3 linked regions of the Saccharomyces cerevisiae S288C genome follow. Changing the gene in region 3 together with the main gene of any one other region gives a genetic interaction. Each region holds a gene or a part of one and is shown on either strand. Other genes may lie near its edges.

Region 1 (5,553 bases), on a different chromosome or scaffold from region 3:
AGTCTCAGGTAGTATGCAGATGGACACGTGCCAAAAGGCATATGCTTATAGCCTAATTCATCAAAATGGATGATTTCGTCTTTTTTCAAAAGAAGTGAGGCAGCAATCGAATGAACTGGTGCATCTCCCCACCTTTCATAGTAAAAACCGCCCTTTGAATCCAAGTACTCGAAAAATCTAATGTATTTCTCACTTCTGAAAAAGTTCAAATCGCCAATTTCAAAATTTGTCCAAAAATGACATAAATTATAGCCGCTGTTACTATCGATGACACCAAAAGATTTACCGATGAAGTCGAAATTTGATACGAACCCGAAAGCGTTGCTTTCCATGTCAATATCTGCTGACTCTGTTTCTTCGAGATATTCTTCTACAGCTTCCCATAGGCTCGGAATTGTATCTTCGTATTCATACATAGTTATCACAAAGCCATATTTCTTATTGTTCTGCCTCATCACCTTGAATGGATCGTAGGGAAAATCGCAAAAATACTCTACATCTGGCTCAACTCTGAAATAAAAATCGTACGGATCTAATATCTTTTGTCTAAAGAAAAATCCAGAATTAAATCGGCACATATTTCTATATGACTTTGACCCACCGTACAAGATATTTTTTTCCTCCATTAATTGTAAAGCCTCTTCAAATAGAGTTTCGTTGATCCAAGATGGCCTGTTCCAGTCCTCCGCAGGGATTAAAGCGTATTGCGTTCTACCACTAGCCATGGCTGTGGTGGCTTCGATGAACTCTTGATCAAATGGGACATCATTAAGAAATGTCCAGTCATACTGGTAGTTTTTATTGAAACGGTCTTCTAGTGATCTCATGGAACGGAGTGCCCCCGAAAGTTCCCAATTACGCACAAGCATTAACAATGTAGCATTTTCTCTTTGATTTTTTATTCCCTTGGTCTTGTTTAGTGGTTCATCATTATAAGTGTTGCTAGATAGCTTCAGCGTCTGATTCATATGTCGCCTCCTTGTAAAATCATATCTCGATGAAACTTCTCGAGATCTTCTAAAAAAATACGAATCTAGGCTCAGCTGTCTCTGATATGGTACAAGTGCAAGCCAACATGTTTGAGCTATCAAGCAAAATAGAAGACTAACAAAAAGTAGTTTTTTAACCTGTGTAAGAAATACCTTGCAGATTTGCATGAAGCTCCTACGCTTTTAAATAAACAACTATTGTATAGAAAAAACGCAAAAAAAGCGTTGCATGTATAGGTGTCACATACCTGAAGAGATATAAAGAATCAAGAATATCATCAGACAGGCAAATGGTGGCTTATTATGTTTATTCTATTTTTATAGGGTGTCTGTTCTTTTTTTTTTCTTTTTTTTTTTCGCTTACTAAATTTCTATAATCTTGCAAATTCTTGAAAGGAATTAAAGTTTAAAACACTTTATTAATGCTATAATTAGTTAGACAAAATCACGCTTTTTCATTGGGAGTGTTTAAATACCGTATTTAAAAGATGATGCTTTAATTTTACAATTTAATATCACTCAGATCTTCATTTTTCTGATTTTCTCTAGCCTCTGAAAACTGATATATAGGCAAACTAGTACTGTTACTGGTCTTGACAAATATAGATATTATTCCTCCTTTAATGACGCCGCCTTGCGGTCTCTTACTTTTATCAGTGAGAAAGTTTATTGTATCTTGGATGTTTTGCAAAATTTCTGGTATGGAGTGTTTTTGAATATAACCGACCCTGACGCTTAAGCAGTTGTCATTATTGGGAATGTATGAGGTATTCTTACATATACTTCTCAATTGTGCTCTCACGTAAATGGGGTCACATTTTTCGACCATTTGTTGACGCTTCAATTTTACTTCTTTCGACATGCGGATCATGTATGGCAATTTTTTACTACCGTGATAAAATCTGCTACCAAGAACCTCCGGAAGTAAGTGGTGAACTCTGTAATCGGCAACGACCAAGTCAAAATCTTTATAAAGTTGGGTCAGTTTACTCCCTTTGAATCTACGTCTCAAGTTCTTGACACTTATAATTTCCTTGAATAATTCCGACGTATGCTCGTCTTTCGTCAAAGTTTCTCTATACAAGGCAGAGGGATCCTTGGTAATGAGTAATATGTTTAGGTCCCTTGGTTTAAATAGCTTGTACTTTGTTAATGGAATAATACGGGGGATGTTGTCCCTGTTTATGCCCATTTTTTTGCCCGTGTTGATGATTATGTGTATGTCCTTATCATTTTTTAAAGATGGGTTCTCTTCACATTGTAAAATTAGAGCCTTTAGTGCTTTCTCTGCCAGCCCACTTTTTATAATATCATTTGACTCAACCATCCCAAACCTCGAGATATAGCGTTTGATGTACACTTTTTCTTTTCAGCTCCAATCTCTATTAGTAGGGCATCGATTTTTTTTTTTTTCCTTTTATATATATTATTTTTTATAAATTTGAAAAATTTCAGATAGATACGTTCGGATATATACAAAAAGACAAAGCAAACAATTAGTATAGGGTATTTCAACCTTCGTGCCGAGAGTCTTTTGGACTTTGAAGAATAATAGGAATGTAAAAAGAAAAACAAATTAAATACAAAAAGCATATATAACTTTTTAGAAATATATGTTACGTTATCAAGATAGCCTCACAAGATACTTTTTTAAGAAGTTTTTGTCTCCCTTAGTTCAACAAAGTAGCGATGTCGGATGGCAATTCTTCAATTTGAGTGGAGTAGAACTTTTCTAGTTCTCTCATAGCGCCAACGTCTTCGTTAGTAACAAAGTTGATGGCAACACCCTTTCTACCGAAACGACCACCTCTACCGATTCTGTGAATATAGTTTTCTTTGTTAGCTGGTAAGTCGTAGTTAATAACCAAAGAAACTTGTTGGACATCGATACCTCTAGCCAACAAATCAGTGGAGATCAAAATTCTGGAAGAACCACTTCTGAATTCCTTCATGATGGTGTCTCTTTCTTGTTGTGGTAAATCAGAGTAGATGGCAGAAACGGTAAATTTGTCGTTTCTTAACTTAGTGGTCAATTCTTCGACCTTTCTTCTGGTGTTACAGAAGATGACAGCTTGAGTAACGGAGATAGAGTCGTATAAATCGGTCAAACACTCGTATTTGTATTCTTCTTCTTCAACATTAACGTAGAATTGTTTGATACCTTCCAAAGTCAATTCATCCTTCTTAACCAAAATTCTAACTGGGTTTCTCATAAATTTGGTGGTAACTTCCAAGACGTCATTTGGCATGGTGGCGGACAATAGAACAACTTGAGTGGTTGGTGGAAGTAAGGTGAAAATTTGGTAGATTTGTTCCTTGAAACCAGAAGACAACATTTCATCAGCTTCATCTAAGATGAACATCTTGATCTTGTCAGTTCTGAATCTACGTCTTTGGATGTTGTCAAAAACACGACCTGGAGTACCAACGACGATTTGAGCATCTCTCAAACCTTCAGCGTCTTCAACAAAGGAAGTACCACCGATACAAGCGTGGACCTTGATGTCCATGTGGAAAGCCAAAGCCATGACAACCTTTTGGATTTGCAAAGCCAATTCTCTAGTTGGAGCCAACATCAAAGCTTGAGGAGCCTTGACAGAGGTGTCAATTCTTTGCAAAGCAGCAATGGAAAAGGTACCGGTCTTACCAGTACCAGATTGAGCTTGAGCCAAGACATCGTGACCTTCAATAATAGGCATGATGGCACGTTGTTGAATGGCAGATGGTTCTTCGAAACCGTAACCGAAAACACCTCTTAACAAGTTTTCGTCCAATTCCATATCATCGAACTTGTAGACAACCTTGTCATAGTTGGTTTGAATTTGGGATTCTTCAATATCAGTAATACCTTCAGACATCTTGTATATAATTAGAAGGAGGCCGTTTAACGAATTTGTTATAAAATAAGAAAAGAAAAGACTAGAGACCAAATAAAAAATCTACAAATGTCAGGGCTGCGTATATTCATACCTTTGTTCTGTGATGTTAGCTCAAGTTCTTAGCACATCATTCAATAGACGAGGTGAGAATGCAAAAATTTTTCAGTCACTATAAACGTTGTGAGGTGAGAAAAGATAAACAGCAAGCATCGGATGTTGTTGCTGATAAACCTTTAAAGTAAATTTCGAGTTTGAATGTATATAGAATAGTTATGCATTTTTGTATAGTCGAAAAGGTCTTTACATAGATATGTCTTTTAATTTTCCTAATATGTGCGTGGAAGTTTACTCTACTGCATACTCAAAAATATCATCAGGGAAACACCTCTCTACTTTGGATAGATAATCAGAGTCCTCCCAGTCAAATTTGAAGTTGGGCATTTCTTGTTGCGGTTGGTTGGTTTCCTCTGCTGTAAGTTTCATATCCTCCTGTTTATCTGCAACTGCACTCGTCTTCGTTTCTCCTTCGGTAGCATCTCTTGCATCGTCATCAAAAAATTCTTCTTCGTTATCGATTGCATTTGACTCGTACACGTCCGGAAGAAATTCTTCATAACCTTCCTTGTCTTTTTCTAAGTACTGTATATTGTCATCAACAGAGGTATGTGGTTCTACGTCGTCTGGTAAGTCATTAGTAGAAACACTTGGTTTTTGTATATTGTCAGTTGACCTTTTCTGTTCTGGATTTGAAGGGCTAGATTCGACACTGATATTATTTTCTTTAGAATTGCTAAAATTTTTGCCATCTGGTTGATTACTTACATTGTTATTGGAAGAAGCGGCCGTGCTTATATCATCGAGGTGGCTTTCTTCTCCAGAATTTGAAGCGTTATCTGTCGTACTATCCTCCTCTTCTGCATTTTGGTGCTCATCGCTATCAGCTTGAGTACTCACAACGCTATAAGAGCTGTTTAGTTCCTGAGTACTATTTGGAGGACTTTCTTGGTCGCGGTTTGAACTGCTATTGATTATATTGTTATCATTCTCTTTCGAATATTCTCTGCTTTCATTTACTGGCTGATTAGTCAAGTGATCTTTGTTAATAAAGGTTGTTAACCACTTGGTAAAATCCAATGGGACAGGGTTAGGAGCAGGGCTATGATCCGAGTTAGGAACAGGCTCGGCGTTCTGGTTGTCCACGTTTTCTTCCACTGTACTAATTGTGTCGATCTCTTGATTCGTAGTGGGTTCGTTCGATGGAGGGGCATCCACTGGGGTTATCGTTTCAGGAGTCTCAGTTTTATCGGAATCACTAATCTTTGGCTTCGAAACTTCGTTATTTAATTGATGTTCTTCCTTAAATTCCTCGTATACCTCATTCCATTGATCATGATACTCGTTTTTAATGAAATTCTTTTGGGACCACAATGACCATGGCTTGTGTTTCCCAATGAAATGAATCAACTTAATGCTAGGTTTAAAGTAATTCATAGCAGGTGAAGATTGGTAGCCTAAATTAGGAATAGTTACGTTATACGTAAATGATAACTGTACCCATTCTCGAGAGAAACTGTCTTTAACTAGCTCATCAGTGCAACAATTTTGATTGAAGAACTGGTTTAAAATGCCCTGGTCAGAACCATCAATTGAAGTGTTTTCAAAAATATAATTTTGTAAAACGGATG
Region 2 (5,789 bases), on a different chromosome or scaffold from region 3:
GGTAATGCAAAAATCTCTTTTCTCCAGTTTCGTTCTTTGAAGAACGTTTTTGGAAAAAGTTAACAATTCCGTTAGAATATGAAGCAAAAGCTCACCTGATCTAAAAATGAGTTTTAAACTATTTCTTATTTTGTTAACATCGGTTTCTTCCATTGAAATAGCCGTCATACCCAGAATACCATTTAAAGGCGTTCTCAATTCGTGCGAAATATTGGCAATAAAGACGGTTTTTGCTTCATTTGCGGCCTCTGCCTCAATCTTGGCAGCTTCGAGTTGTTTTGTCCTCGCCCTAACTCTTTCTTCTAGAAGAGCATAATGTTGGTCTAATGCGTCTGTCATAGTATTGAAGGTTTCTGTTAAATCGGAAAGTTCATCAGAAAATAGTCTTCTATAATCTGGTAGCCTAGCTTCAGTTAAATTTGCAGAAGTTGTGAGAATGTGAGATCTATTGGAACTTCTGTCAGTGTCATTATGTCTCAAGGAATGTGGTCCAAGCAAATCGTGATTTAGCGAGCCATCCATTGATATTTTAGCATCGGTGTGGTTATTCGGTATTTTGTTCTCCTCCTCTGGAGGTGACATTTTCTCATTTCCAAGGTTTATAGCGCTTTTCATGCTACTATTTGCTGAAAAAGCTGCACCACTGCCATGGCCACTGCCTCCATGGCCACTTACGCTTGTGGTGCTGCCAGCTTCAGCAGTATTAAATTGTAATAACGAAGAAGGAACAGCAAATCCAGAACTAAATCCTCTTTTGAATGAACTGGCTCTGCTTATCGTTCTTGGGGTGCTCGGTCGAAGGCCTCTCCCCTCTGTAATTAATTCAGTTGCCTTTTGTAGACGTACAATTGGTTGCACTGCCCAGTGTGCTAGAGGAAGGGTTAACAAAATGACAAAGACACCAATAGCGATGACAGTGCCGGTGATGATTTTTGCTAGTTTCGTTGCTGGAGAAAGGAAAACCGACTCAGGCTGTGAAACTATCGCGACCCAATTAACTAGGTTAAACGAACATGGTGAATAGCCTAAAGCAGTATTCCGTGTAGAAAGGATATTGGTTTGTTTCAAAGACCCTCCCTTCCCGTTTCTAAATGCGCTACTAATGAATGTATCATTTTTTATAGAAAAAACTTTTTGCGGGAGGTCTGATCGTGATCCATACGGTGGAAAGACAAAATGATACCCTGAAGCTTTGCCTTGACTATTATATACTGCAGAAATAATGGCAATTGTGGAATGTTCTAAAGCAGTTGTATCGTTGAACACACTTTTCAGACCCTCTGCCGACATTATTATAGTAATGTATCCGTAAACCCTTGAATCAGTCAAGATAATAGAAGGATTGGCAAAAATAGGTAAAGACATAGACATCAAATAGTCGGTGCTATTTAGTACTGGATCCGTCAATATACCTATAGTTTCCAGTGAAGAAGGTAGCGGTGTATCGGTGGATAATGGGAACAAACTGTCTAAAACATCTTCTGGAATTAGATCACCAGTTCCATTATTCGTAGCGTTCAAAACAGCATTAAATGAAGAATCGTAAACTTTAGCAACATAAAACAAGTTTGAAGAGCTCAAAAATTTTTGAATCACACTCAAGGAATCTACCCAATTATCTGCACTCTTGTTACCTGCAACGTAACTTGTTAGTGAGCTTTGCAGGGCGTCTCTTGATGCCAAATAGTACGCCTGGTAATATAAGTAGTTTAGAGTTTGGTCAATCTGTGATGACTTTAACTGAGCGGCAATGTACAGTCTATCGGACCTTAAATTTTTATAGTTCGAGGTAAAATAGACCCCTGTCGTTACAGCCAGAATAATCAGTGAGCCCAAAGCCACTATACTAACTAGTGCCGTTAGTTGAGTTCGGATGCCTATCCTAAACGGAGGAGTGAGTTCCAATTTTGATGGCAGGCCAAATCGCATTTGTATTGTTAAATCAAAACAAAGTAGATTATACCCAACGTGTTCTTATTTCAATTCTATGCTTATTATAATTGGATGATAGATCTATAAGATCTTCTCCACTGCTGTTACCTGTCTTTATAGAATTCGTAGTAGGAAATGGAAAACAACAAACAAGGACAGAATCAAAACTCCGGACGGAATCTGCTAAAATGTAGTGAGTTGGCTTTTGTTCGTGCTGTTTTCGATGAACTATTAATCCCAAATTTATGTAGTAATAATCACTAAAAAATGCGAAGAGGAAATATTAACGCGCGGCGCAAAAAGATCGGGTAATTTGGGCGTTTAAGTACATGAAGGTAGAATATTTCAAATATGATGTCAAAGGCGATAATAGTAACTTCTAAATGCATTCACATTTACAGCGATAGTTTCCTTGAAGTCGTCGGAATACGCTCTATGCGCTATGGTTGATTTTTAATTGTTTTTTTGTGTTGAGACGCGAAAGTAAGGAATATATAAAGAAACTTAAATTTGCTAACAGAAGAAATATTTTATAAGCTGTTTGTTTATGTATTTATGAAACCAAACAAAAAATTGCCTGTATAATGAAAGAATTTTCATATTTGATAAGCTTCTATGTAATTAAGGAAAGGAACCAAACGGGGAATATAGATACGCAGTGAGAGAAACAGAAGTGATAGTAAAAAAGTGAGTAGGAACGTGTATGTTTGTGTATATTGGAAAAAGGTTACAATAGAATATAACCCAGTGCCAAAATCCGATTAGATTCATCAATGGAAAATTCAGAGCTTTTATTAAGGTTCTCCAAAAATTTTAAAGGTTTAGAAAGAGCATGCAAGACAAAAGTATTCATTTTGCCCCAAGTCTCCTTGATTATGGTAAGACTTTTCATAATGAATCCATCGGAGTGGAAGTTTATCTGAAGCGTACCCTTATCAAACCATAAAAACTGCTCAGTTGAAGAAGGAGATGCAGTGGCGGGCGTATTGATTGTGTCGCTAGAGGAATCTAAGGAAAGTAAAGAGGCCAATATGGAGGGCCGCAAACTTAAAGACTTAACTGTTTGGTGTTCGTATGCTGCAGTGACAAAGTATGTCACACAACATCCAAAACTAATTCCTATAGTAATTGAAATGCCCCAAGTGAACCAGCTCGTGAAGAACTTCTGCTTCTTTCTCTTGGGTTTTTTATTCGATTTAGGGGATTTCTTTTTTGAGTTTTCGGCTTTTTTGTTACGACAATAGGACCGAGACTTTGTATGTATAGCTTCGTCATCATTATCTTCCTCATTCACATCTTCTCCGTATTCCAAGGATAAATCTTGTAATCTTTGAAACATTTTTTTCAAATCTCTTTTGTTGGTCACAACAACTGGAGGAAACAATAATTTAACAAGTTTATTCCTTAAGAATGACTTCAGGACGTTTTTCACTTGGATGACTTGCCCAGGCTGGCAGATCGGTATTACAGGCTTGCCTTGAGAATATTGAACGATCCTGTTTAGCAGAGATACCATCTCTCTCAGCTCCTGAAAAATTATGACAATCCCCGTATATTGCGGGAATGTTGCGGAATCGTGATATTTGGGTAATTCAAAAAGAGATTGGTATTCTTTTGGTATTGATTGATAAAAGCTGGAACCAGTCCTTCCCAGTATTAGAAGGCGAAAAACTGGATTCTTTTGTGTTAGTGATAGTTTGGGCATAACAAAAGAGTTTGTCGAAGAAGTCAAGCTTTTTGTTATCGTCACACTATCTTCCTCAAAAGCCTCATCTTCATCACCATCATCATCTTGCTCGTTAAAAGGAGTTTTTTCCTTACCAGGCAAGGGCAGCGATATTATCTTCTGTAACTGTTTAAAGGGATGAGACGGTGAAACGACATTTGCTCCTTCTTGTCCTTGTTTAATAATATTTATTATATCAGCAGCAGGCGCTTGAAGCAGCTCTTGTTCTTCTTCAGAAGTATCACTAGATGATAGAATACTTCCATTAGTCGTTTGAGAAGAGCACCTTTCTGGGATGAAAGAAGCGCCCAAGTCCAAAGGCTGAATGGCTTGCCACGATCCTGATATACTATCGTTTACATTGTGGTTGCCGGATATGTCAATGGACGTAACCAAGTTCTGTCCCATTGGCGAAGGCGAATGCCCTGTCTTACTCAACAATTCCAATACTGATAGATGAGGGTCAAGTAAGCCTTTGTCTTCCCCAGTTTGTGCTTCAGAGCATGTGTGAATAGTCGTTGACGAGGAATCAGGTGGCATGCTTTTAGATGAGGATCCTTTACCTTCCCTTTGTTGGTATTCCAAAACCATATGTTTACTGTTCCTGGCAGATTTTTTTTGCTTTTGTGATTAGGACTTCAATATTGCTTATCGATAAGAGAAGTCACAACTGATAAGAAAAATTGTCAAAAACGAGAAATGGGCTTTGTAAGAAAATATTTCAACAATAACCCAAAAATATAGATTTTAAAAGTATAATGATTATGCCTCAGGAAGCTTACTGCACCTTATTTCCTAAATAACTTTTTTATTACTTAATAGATCTGTTTCTTTTTTTTTTTTTTGTAAAAGGGGTGCGTCAAACAATAGATATATGCTCTAGACAGACGGTGATCTAAGATATTTGAGAAAGCACGAAACAAGTGCCAAACAACTTCAACTTTGCTGAAGTAGTATAAACTTTGCTTTTACTATGCAAACTGTGAAAGACGATTTGTCCTTTCCATATTTGTGTTTTGAGCGATGGGGATGTCGTCCCTTCAGCCGTCTAAAAAAAAAGTCATCAAGCGTGAAATCTATCATCCCGTTGTTGGTTTAAAAGAATATCGTGCATACTGTATAAGAGTGGTATATACTGCAACACAGACACGGGAAGGCCCAATCACCTAGTTTAAATAACGATGTTATCTATTAGTCTGACGACCGTATCGGGTTTTTCGCGGTCAGTCACGTATACAGCACAACTAATGACTATTGGCTGCTGTTCGCTGGTGTTTTCAACATCGGAGAGTTCATCAAGAGTCTTAAAATCTGCTAAGGAAACATAGTCGATTTTGAAATCGTGGGAATCAACGTAGGGTGCCCATATTTGAGTCACAGTATCGATGATTTCTGATCTGGAGAGACGTCCCCCTGGTGCTAGTCTCCTAATAGCATTTTCCGCAGCTTTCAGCCCGCGGTAAAGGTTTTCAGAGATCTTTAAAGACTCTGGACAAAGATATTTGTTTCTACTACTCAGAGCCAGTCCATTATTGTTTCTTACAATAGGCATCATTTGTAGCCTTGTATTAACAAACAGTTCGTCCACCATACACTGTAAAACAATGAACTGTTGAATGTCCTTCTGCCCAAAATAAGCCACATCCGCCATAACGATATTGAATAGTTTAGTCACGACAGTTGCCACGCCCCTAAAGAAGTTAGGTCTCGTCTTCCCCTCTAATTTTTCACTCAATCCAAGAACACTAACAAAAGGGCCTTTCTGCTCTTCTATGTCGAGCGGAATTCCCTGTGGATACATCACGTGTGCATTAGGAGCAAATAGAACATCCACCTTCAACGACTCAAGCAATTTGATGTCGTCTGGCAAAGTTCGAGGATAGTTATCTAGATCTTCCGTTGGCGCAAACTGGGAGGGATTTACAAATATACTGACCACAGTATAGGTGTTTTCCTTCACAGACTGCGAGATCAAACTAGCGTGACCCGAATGCAGGCAACCCATTGTGGGAACGAACCCAATAGTTTCTCTAAATCTAGTTTCCCTCAGCTCCTGTGTTCTCCATTGAACAACTTCTTCGACAGTATGGAAGATTTTCATCAATTCTATATGGATATGCAGTATAAAAAC
Region 3 (10,030 bases):
TCAGGAAGACTTACCAACTCCTTATTATCAAAAAAATCACTCCAAGTGGGTAAACTACTCTTTTCCTTACTTGAAATTCTATCAGTAGTACTACCGGTTTTGCCCGTATATTTTCTGTTCCTATTTGATTGTCCATTAAATGATGGCAGGGAACCTAATGCATCACCATCGTTTTCATCATCCTCGTATGCTTCTTGGAATGTCGCATCTAGAACATTCTTGGCTCTCTCAAACTGGGATAAAGCAATTTTTCTTCTCAAATCGTCAGACATTGAAAATTTGAAAATGTCCTACCGTTACTACCAGTTTGTTGCCGTATTTTTGACTCTTTGTTGAGCATTAGTTGATCATTACCGCTGCAGTCAGTTAATGATATCCCTAAATAGGCATATTGTACAATTTCAAATATATTACCCGAATTACAAGAACAATAGGGTCTTCTACAATATTACTATGAACAATTCATAGGGGAACATAGTCCACTTCAATGTCGGTGCCAACGATTCTATTTGTTGTAAGTATATATGCTGTTTCCCGGCAATACTTTATATTGGGGGAATTTTCTGGAGGTTTAAGGGCATATTACTACGTCAAGGCTGGGATTGACCTTCTGGTATATATTACGTTGCGCAGGACATTCCTTATACTTGAGCCTTTGTAAAAACTTCTTCGTTCTCCTGACCAACCGTTCAATTATGTTGTGAATTTTTTGATCCGAGTTTGAAACATCCAAATTCACAAACAAACCGTTGTCATCCTGAGTTGGCGTCGGCCATTGAGCTTCCTCTATGTGTTTTAAATCTTTCATTTTAAGAAATCTAAGTAAGGAAATTGTTTCTCCACATGTGTACCGTATAAAGTTCTTGTTATGAATTAGAAGGATTATCACAAAAGCCCTCCATCAAATCTGATAATTTCATTACCCAAAGACTGTAATACCTTGGGTGTAAAGATCGTATTTTTTGATGTCTTCGTGATATTTTGCAGATCTTTCCATTTTATAAATTTCTGCAAATATCGTGCATCAGCTCATCTTGGAATTGGCACAATCTGCGTAATTTTTTTCTTGGTTCTCTTCTCCTTTTGATTTTAAGAGCGCTTTCTATTCAGTAGCAGATTTTCAGTAAATAAAGCCATCTTTCTCAAGTAAACTCATGATCATGCAGTTGTTCAAAATTACACCAATAACGATGTTATCTTTAAAACTTTCCCCAGAAAGAAGATGGCACTTTTGCACTAAATACTTCAAACTATTTAACTTTGAAGCAGGACATATTGCCGGTTATTTGACCATGCTGGCGCCGTTGACATTCATGTAAGCAGTATTAGCTTTTAAACTGCCATTAACGCACCTATACGATTGCGGCGGTGCGAAAACAGTAACTAGCACTCTTACGGCTCATTGTTTCCTCTATCCAAAGTTGCCTATATCACAATAAAATTAGAAATTAATCATTTTAATAAGCTTGCTGCCATTCAGTGACTCGCAATCTACGTTTTAAACGTAATTTAAAAATCCACTTCCACCTACATATTTTGCAACAGTCGTACGACAGAAACTGAGGCTCTATAAAATGAGATGTGCTAATTGTTCTTTCTTGGCTGGTTTCAGCTACATCTTTCTGTAATCAATCTACAAATTTACACGCGAGCTTCATTTTGACAGTAAACAAATGTAAAAGACACATGCAATAAAAGCGGTCCAGAAAACAAACGACAAAGCCACCAAAAATGTTTGCAAACGTTGGATTTAGAACTTTGAGGGTCTCGAGAGGTCCCCTTTATGGTATGTTTATTGTTTTATTCATTGGTGTGCTAATTGCTAAATTTGCGGGACAAATGCTAATCGACTCAGAGACTAACTTTTCTCATATCATAGGATCCTGCAGTCAAATCATCAGCTTTTCCAAGAGGACTTTTTACTCAAGTGCCAAGAGTGGGTATCAATCGAACAACAGTCATGGTGATGCGTATAGTTCAGGTAGCCAATCAGGCCCGTTCACCTATAAAACCGCGGTAGCTTTCCAACCAAAAGACAGAGACGATCTGATATACCAAAAACTAAAGGATTCTATTAGATCACCTACAGGAGAAGACAACTATTTTGTTACATCAAACAACGTTCACGATATTTTTGCCGGTGTCGCAGACGGTGTTGGAGGATGGGCTGAGCATGGGTATGACTCCAGCGCCATCTCAAGAGAATTGTGTAAAAAAATGGACGAAATAAGCACTGCTTTAGCAGAAAATTCATCCAAAGAAACGCTTTTAACGCCAAAGAAAATTATTGGTGCTGCATACGCAAAAATTAGGGATGAGAAAGTAGTGAAGGTTGGTGGGACAACAGCCATTGTGGCTCACTTCCCATCTAATGGAAAATTGGAAGTTGCCAACTTGGGTGATTCTTGGTGTGGAGTCTTCAGAGATTCTAAACTTGTATTCCAGACAAAGTTTCAAACTGTTGGATTTAATGCTCCTTACCAATTGTCAATCATTCCAGAAGAAATGTTGAAAGAGGCCGAAAGAAGGGGTAGCAAGTATATTTTAAACACCCCCAGAGACGCTGATGAATATAGCTTCCAATTGAAAAAAAAGGATATTATTATATTGGCTACCGATGGTGTAACCGATAATATTGCCACAGATGATATTGAGCTTTTTCTGAAGGATAACGCTGCGAGAACAAACGATGAGTTACAGCTATTATCCCAGAAGTTTGTGGACAATGTTGTCAGTTTAAGCAAGGACCCCAATTACCCCAGTGTTTTTGCGCAAGAGATTTCTAAGCTAACTGGCAAAAACTACAGCGGTGGTAAAGAAGACGATATAACTGTTGTTGTCGTGAGAGTTGACTAACACTCCGCTCTTTAATCTCCTGGAAAGCAGTGTAAATAAAAATACAGCGTCATAAACGGTACTATATAAACACGTAGCCATTTAATAGAGCCAAACATAAGTGGGCATATATAGTAAAAATTTAAAGAACTATATTCGCAAAAGAATCTCAGTCGAAAGAACGTTTTAAAACAATCTTTTTAATCTTGTTTCGCTCGGTTTTTAGTTTCTCTTCTTCTTCAAGGACATCAGAGACAAATTTCACATCCGTTGGTAATTGTAAAATTCTTGATTGTGTCTTCTTACCGCTTTTAGTCAAGAACGTAAATGCAATCTTCTTTGGCTTGGATAACTCTTCGTAGGTCTCCTTGCTTGAAGAAGGTTCTTCACTCTTTTTTAATAATAAAGGTTTTTGAACGCTGACTGGCTTCGAAATTACTGGAATTTTACTGGCAACAACCTTTTCGCTTTTCCTTGCGTCTATGGATTCTTGCATCATTTTCTGAAATTGCCTTTCCAATTCTTCTTCCGCTTTCCTTTCTTCCTCATCCTTTAGTTTTCTCTCGTACTCTTCATACATTCGTTTCATTTCAATATCTCTGTCTGCGTCAAGATCACCACCATACTCCAAATCAGAGTCGCTGTCTTCTTCTTCTTCATCATCATCATCCTCATCATCATCATCTTCATCATCATCCTCATCGCCTTCTTCTCCATCATCATCATCATCGTCATCGTCATCGTCATCATCCTCGTCATCGTCCTCATCGTCTTCATCTTCACTTTCGTCTTGCTTTGCCTGATGTTTTCCTGGCGCTGACTCTGTGTTCGGTGTACTTATCTCCGCGTCTTCATCTTCTCCTAGTAAATCGACACCATCGTCGTTTTCATCATCTTCATCCTCATCATCTTCGGTGATTGACTCGATAGGAACAGCACTCTCCTTACCGTTGTGAATGCTTGCAGAAGATCCCTTCACTCTGTCGTCTTTACTTTTTATTGCGTTTAATGATTTCAGTAAACTTTCCAACCTTGAGGCACTTTCTACCAAATTTTCTGACCTTTCAAATTTAGTGTTTCCGAAAATATTCTCATATTTTTTAAATGTGCTTGAAACTCTGAATTCTGTTTCCTTGGGTAAAGGTTGTTCTTTAATAAAAGTATAATACTCGAAAAACCTCAGCAAAAGTTTGCATTTCTTAGTAAAAGCTGCAGGGGTCCTGTTGATATTTAACAGAATTGTAGTGACTAGTTGAATCCTGAAATAATTATCCGGTGGATCTGAGTAGTTTAAATAAAATGGATTGGGTTGATTGTTGATATGACCAAACCGAATAATGTGGTAGATAGTATCTAACAAAACATCGGATTTTATCATTTCAAAGTTGAATATTTCAGTTAAGTATCTGACATTTGATATTCTATGCATGTTTTGTCCATAATCGTTAATTTCTAAGCCTCGCTCAATGTTTTCCAGTACTTGGTCTATACATCTGATGACGAAATCGCGGCGGTAACTGTATAGACCGCCTAGAACTTTTGTTAATAAGGGAATATTTTGATAGCTAATCTTATGTGGTTTTGAAAACAGAGAAAACAGCACTTTCTGAATAGCTACATCGTCCCAGTGAGCTTTCCGAACCAACTTGACAATGTGTTTGAAGTCTAGGCTACTTAGTTCACTTCTAATTAATATGCGATAAAACTGTTGTTCAGGCGTTATTGTTTTTACCGTAACATTTAATGATTTTACAGAAGGGGGATAAAGTAAAGTAATTATGTTTTCTAAGGCGCTTTTCATGTTCATGTTCAATTGCCTATCATTTTTTTTATCCTTGATTAGTTGGACCATTTTTTCCATTAATTCCTTATATTCTGGCTTATTTAGCAGAAATTTCCCTGAGTGCTCCAACAAAACCGTCAAAATTTCTACGTTATTTGGAACTTGCATATACATGATTAATGTTCTAATCTTATGAAAAATCATAAACGATGGTATTAATTGAAATTTAATCATTTCACTGAAGAAGATGATGTTTTTAACGTTAATCTTATTAGAATGTAATTGACTCCTGAAGCCATTGTCTAGGTAGTTAATAAACTCAGAAACAATTTCCGGCATATATTTGCTATTTGTTGCAATAAATCTGGAATACACTGGCAGTTTGCTCCAATCTTGTGTTTCCATGAAAAATTTCAATATTCGATTTCTTGTGGCTTTGTTGTCCAAATATGATGACCAATATCTATTTGAAAGGTCATCGATTATATCTTTACAATCTGCCATTTCCAAATCCGTAAAGAATAGATTGATATTTTTTGAGTTAACGTTTGAATCTTTTTCTGTTTTAGAAGATTGTGATTCTTCTACTGTTTTTGAGATATCTGGTAAGATTTCATAAAATTTCCTTGTATCTTCATTTTCCCATAATCGTTGGTTGGGTGGCAATATCTGATTCGTGATCATTGGAGAAGCTGTTTCTTTCAGATCATCATTAGAGGCACCTTCAAGCTCCGGAATTTCTAACTTAAAAAATTCTCCCAAAGTAATTGCAGATGTCTTGAACCTAATGAATATTGGAAGTAACTTGTCGTACTCCTCTACGTACTCATCTCTCAATTTTCCCGTTCTTATTTGGCATTTCTGATGTTCTCTTTGCAGTTTATTGACCTTCTTATGCAGTTCTGTGGCCCTCGCAAAAGTGGCGTCTATAAAATTCTTAAACAGAGACTGTAACGCACCTTTTAACTTCGAGTCATATATTAAATCATCCCAAGAATTATCATCGTCGCGAAACAAAGGTGCAAATTTCTTAATAAATGCGGTCGCAATAGTGGTAGTAAAGCCCAATTTGAACTTATAATTAAGAATCTCTCTGAGAATACTGAATAACAACGGATCCTTTCGCCCAGTTTTCTTCTGTAGGAAGTTTGGAATAGCATCTTTCGACTCAATATCATCCAATGTTCTAAAAACTCCAACTAAATAAAGCTCGGTAAATACCCGAAGATTACCTTTAACTCTGGTTATCCTTTGAAGCTCATCTCTTTCGGATTCAATGTCAACAGAGGGGTTCTCAAAAGCTTGTAAAAAAGCTCCTAAAAGCGGACTAGTAAATCGGCCATTGAACCTTTGATGAAGTCCACTTATGATCTCAACAGCGGCAATTACGTCATCATTTTTATTCAAAACATTTAGCAGACATTCTGTTACCGTCACTATTATCTCTGATAGGTACTTTTCCAAGGACGCCTCACTTAAATCTTTCAATAATGAAGATTCTGAACCTTTCACAAAACCCTTCTTTAGTTTTTTTATAAAGCCAGTGTTTCTCTTTATACTGGAATCCAGTTTTTTACTTTTCAGGGGAAAGACTTCTTCGCCATTCCAAGCTCGGGTGTTCAAATCATGCAATTCTTTTTTCCGTCCATCCTGTTGATACATAATTGTTACCGTAGTTTACAACGATCAATAAAAGAAGTTAGTATAAAACCTTAGAAGTACTGAAAGGCCGATCTGGCCACAGTAAGATAAATCAAACATACGTCCATAATTTCTGTCCAATGTATTATCAATGCAGATACAATATTAGATTATTTAAGCATTTAAGTTGATTGTTACTGTTCATTGTAAAGTAATATGGGCCTCATTAGTTTCTCAAACCTGTATTCGAATGCAGTTTTTCAGTGACTGCCAAGAAAGTGAAAAAAAAAAAAAGAAGCAGGCTCCATCAATTCGTATCAAGTGATAATTATCACATAAATTATATAATTGTAAACCTATTAATAACCCTAATATCATCCTCATGCCCTAAGAAATATTCAATATAACCCCCTAACAATATCATAATATCCCGTAGTGATCATAGAAACGCTATATGATGGTGCATAATTAAGATAAAGGTCATTCAGGCATGAAATAATGAACTTTAGTGAACGACTTAGTCATACAGAGTCTATTTTAGCTTAACCATTCGGTTTTATTTTACAGTCTAGACTCAAACGAGTGAAAAATTGCGATATCTGCGATGACCGAGTCCTGAACAATAAAAATTGACCAGCAGGGAAAGAAAAGGAAAAGATCTCAACTCTGGCGGTTGCCTCCAGGACCTGCACTAGAAAGGACTATTGAGTGTAGACTAAGTGGTGGACGGGATGGAGGCACTTATCGTATTTATAGTGCTTTCCGTATCCGGAGCATTTGCTTACAAATGCTCCTATGAAAGGCTCTGGTTTAAAGTAGGGTCTTTGTTTGACATTATATCAACTTCCTCGAAGAAAAATGTCATTCCGTTGGCAAGCAAAATGGAAGTTGGCTCGAATGAGGATGTGTCTAGTATGGGTAATTTCATAAATAAATTCTACACAGAGTATTCTTTACCCTCACATAAGGTACTGCAATCACTGCGAGTCCTTTTTTCATTAGCAATGATGACGTATACAGTAACCATAGAGATTATTCTATGGCAGATTAAGGTTGCTGGAATGGACAAGGAAGTTACTTTCATAACGACTTGGGTGTGGCCTCTGACTGCAATCATGCTATCCTTCATACTAATTTTATTTCAGCCCTTTTTCATTATAATATCGTTACTGAATAAATTCTACAATGACAAGTTCGATATCGATAGGTTGATAATAGTGACATGCATAATCTTGTCCACACTTATTGCGCTGTTAAGTTACATAAATATTGGACCGTTCCAGTACACAAAAAATATTCTAACTAGATTGTCCATCGGAGGCGTCACAGTCATGGCTTCCCTATCTGGGTTAGCCACTGTTTCTAGTTTATACTACAACTTTTTAGTCATCTGGCACAAGTTTCGTAATACACCAATGTCAGACCCCAGTTTTAGAAACATCAACAACAGCAACAATAACAGTAAATCTCTCTTATGGACAACAGACGCCTATATAGAGGAAAAAATCCAAGATTATGAACACAACATTGAACAAAATGTACAAATATTAAGAAGTTTAGAAGAAGAGGTCGGAGAAAACTCAACTTTTAAAGCAGAGTTGATGGAAAAAATCGCCTGGTATCAACTGGAGCTTGGGAAATTGGAAGCATTATTACAACAGTCCCCTCAGGTACGCACTTTTAAGAAAGCTTTTGAAGTCGGGTTTATCATATACTGTCTTCATAAACTAATAATAACTTTCCTGAAAAGAATCCCCTATATCATATACCACTCGCTCAAATATCCAGATGACTACGATTATGAAAATTTTAGTGAAAATGCAGCATCCGATCCTTTAGCCATTACGATAGCAAATATTTTGGATTTTTCGTTTTTCAGGTTCAATTACCAGCACGATCTCGATTCGTTAACAAAACAGATATCGTTATTTTTGTCAATTTCTCTCTTTCTTTGCTGTCTTTCTGCTGTCAATACCACCATCTCCTACGTTGTGACCCTTTTGCCCATAAAGTTCCAGATTCTTGCACTTTTCGCCATGCAGAATGATGACACTGCTAATGTACTTCCAGAGTACACCAATAACTCTTCCTATAAGGGAAAAAAGAGAAACTATTCTCAGGAACAAAAAGGAATATCTTTGATAAAAAATCTGGTGGTGTCAGAGTTGACTGGCGTCTACGTTTTGGCTACAACGCTAATGGTTAGGTCCCATCTCCCTTTTGAAGTATCACAAAGATTAAAGGAGCTATTGGGTGGAAAGTTTACCGTCCCAAACATTGTCATAGATTCTTGGTTTGATGAAGTCTACGCTTTTGCATGTGTGTTTACCTTTATTTGCATAAGAATTGCAGAACGAAAGCTTTCCACCAAAAAAGTCAGTGTTGAATAACTGGAGTAGTATGTCGATGTTCGATGTTTATGAGATATGTATTTATAAAATTAAATGTCTGTCGGGTAGTTTATGTAGGGATGAGAAAAGTAGTATAGGTTCATGAAGAAGTACAACTTTTTTTCATTTATGCAAGGGCGTAAAAATTATGGATGGTTACTACTAATGATCAAAGTAACATTAATGCAATAATCAACCAAGAAGAAGCAGAGGGGCATGAACATGTTATGAATACAAAAATTCACGTAAAATTTGATCGTCACTTAAATTTTCCTTGACAATCATATAAACACCTATTAATAGGTTTGGAAAACGCTTGGTGAAGTAATCGTAAAATCCATCGGGTACCGGCCCCATTAGTTCTGCTATATCTTCAGGTAAATCCATAAAATGATGATATTTATTCCTAAGTGCTCTTAATAGATCCATTAACTTTGATGAATGGTATTTTCTGTACCTTTCAAGGTTGTCCATGAATGTTTTATCAAACTTGACAGTCCAATCTCCACTGGGTATTACAAAGTCAGAACCGGCGTCAAATTTCATTAACAGGGCACTTGGAGGGTCTCTGTTTTCAATTTCAAGCCTATCACTAACTTTTAAAAGGAACTCCAATTTTTTCGACTTTGGCCAAAACAACGGATGCCTTAGAACTTTCATAGCAGTAGGTCTTTTTAACGGATCGTGATCAATCATTTGGGAGATCAGATCTGTAGCTTCTGCAATTAAGGATCTATCATGTAGACATTTCATTTCATCAAGACTGAATATTCCTCTTATGATATTGCTTTCACGTGAATATTTATCTCCAAATGGATGCTTCCCTTTGGATAGGATATAATAGAATACACATCCCATAGAAAAAATATCAATAGATCTTGTTAGCCTCCTCTTGGTGAACGGATCATAAAAAGAATCAGATGAAACTACTGTATGCCTACTAGAAGAGTGTTCCGTTTCGACTTGGCACTGCAAATTGTTTGATTCTTCAAGCAGCTCTGGGGCCCTCCAACCACTTGTGCCAGAAGGGTTATTCAAATTTGTTCTAAATGAAGACTGACCAGAGTCTAGTTTTTTGCAAAGACCAAAGTCTGATATCAAAATTCGAAGATTTTCTGCTCCTGTTTGCTGATCGGCAGTAAACCTACTCGAAGTAGAAACGAGAATATTTTGAGGCTTTAAATCTCGATGGATAATCTTTAAAGAATGTAAATGTGCTACCCCGGACGCTATTTGTCTCAATAACGAAATTGGATTATACTCTTTCTGTAATTTCAGGTTTTCATCTGATACATTCTTAGACTCCACCAAATCTTGAAGGTTCAAATTGCAGAGCTCTAAAGCAATATACAAAAATCTGTCTGTTGTTTCTGAACAGTAG

The links. Genes that interact genetically often act in the same process or in processes that back each other up.
Region 1: mutations in NMD2 (region 3) and TIF1 together harm fitness more than expected from each alone (negative genetic interaction), as found in Saccharomyces cerevisiae (3 studies listed by BioGRID).
Region 2: mutations in NMD2 (region 3) and ATG32 together harm fitness more than expected from each alone (negative genetic interaction), as found in Saccharomyces cerevisiae (2 studies listed by BioGRID).

What each region holds. Positions count from the first base shown.
Region 1 is NC_001143.9:553,281-558,833, reverse strand, and holds TIF1 (translation initiation factor eIF4A), read right to left. Parts: upstream 3,848-5,553; coding exon 2,660-3,847; downstream 1-2,659. Other genes in the region: mannosyltransferase KTR2, read right to left, coding at 1-1,157; UTP30 (Utp30p), read right to left, coding at 1,492-2,316; glycogenin glucosyltransferase GLG1, read right to left, coding at 4,214-5,553.
Region 2 is NC_001141.2:71,525-77,313, forward strand, and holds ATG32 (mitophagy protein ATG32), read right to left. Parts: upstream 4,250-5,789; coding exon 2,660-4,249; downstream 1-2,659. Other genes in the region: SLN1 (histidine kinase), read right to left, coding at 1-1,929; pantoate--beta-alanine ligase PAN6, read right to left, coding at 4,830-5,759. UniProt on the Saccharomyces cerevisiae protein: Mitophagy-specific receptor that recruits the autophagic machinery to mitochondria and regulates selective degradation of mitochondria.
Region 3 is NC_001140.6:249,370-259,399, forward strand, and holds NMD2 (Nmd2p), read right to left. Parts: upstream 6,388-10,030; coding exon 6,382-6,387; intron 6,269-6,381; coding exon 3,005-6,268; downstream 1-3,004. Other genes in the region: PPE1 (phosphoprotein phosphatase methylesterase 1), read right to left, coding at 1-272; type 2C protein phosphatase PTC7, read left to right, coding at 1,732-1,786, 1,880-2,856; YHR078W (uncharacterized protein), read left to right, coding at 6,991-8,649; bifunctional endoribonuclease/protein kinase IRE1, read right to left, coding at 8,875-10,030. UniProt on the Saccharomyces cerevisiae protein: Involved in nonsense-mediated decay of mRNAs containing premature stop codons. It interacts, via its C-terminus, with NAM7/UPF1.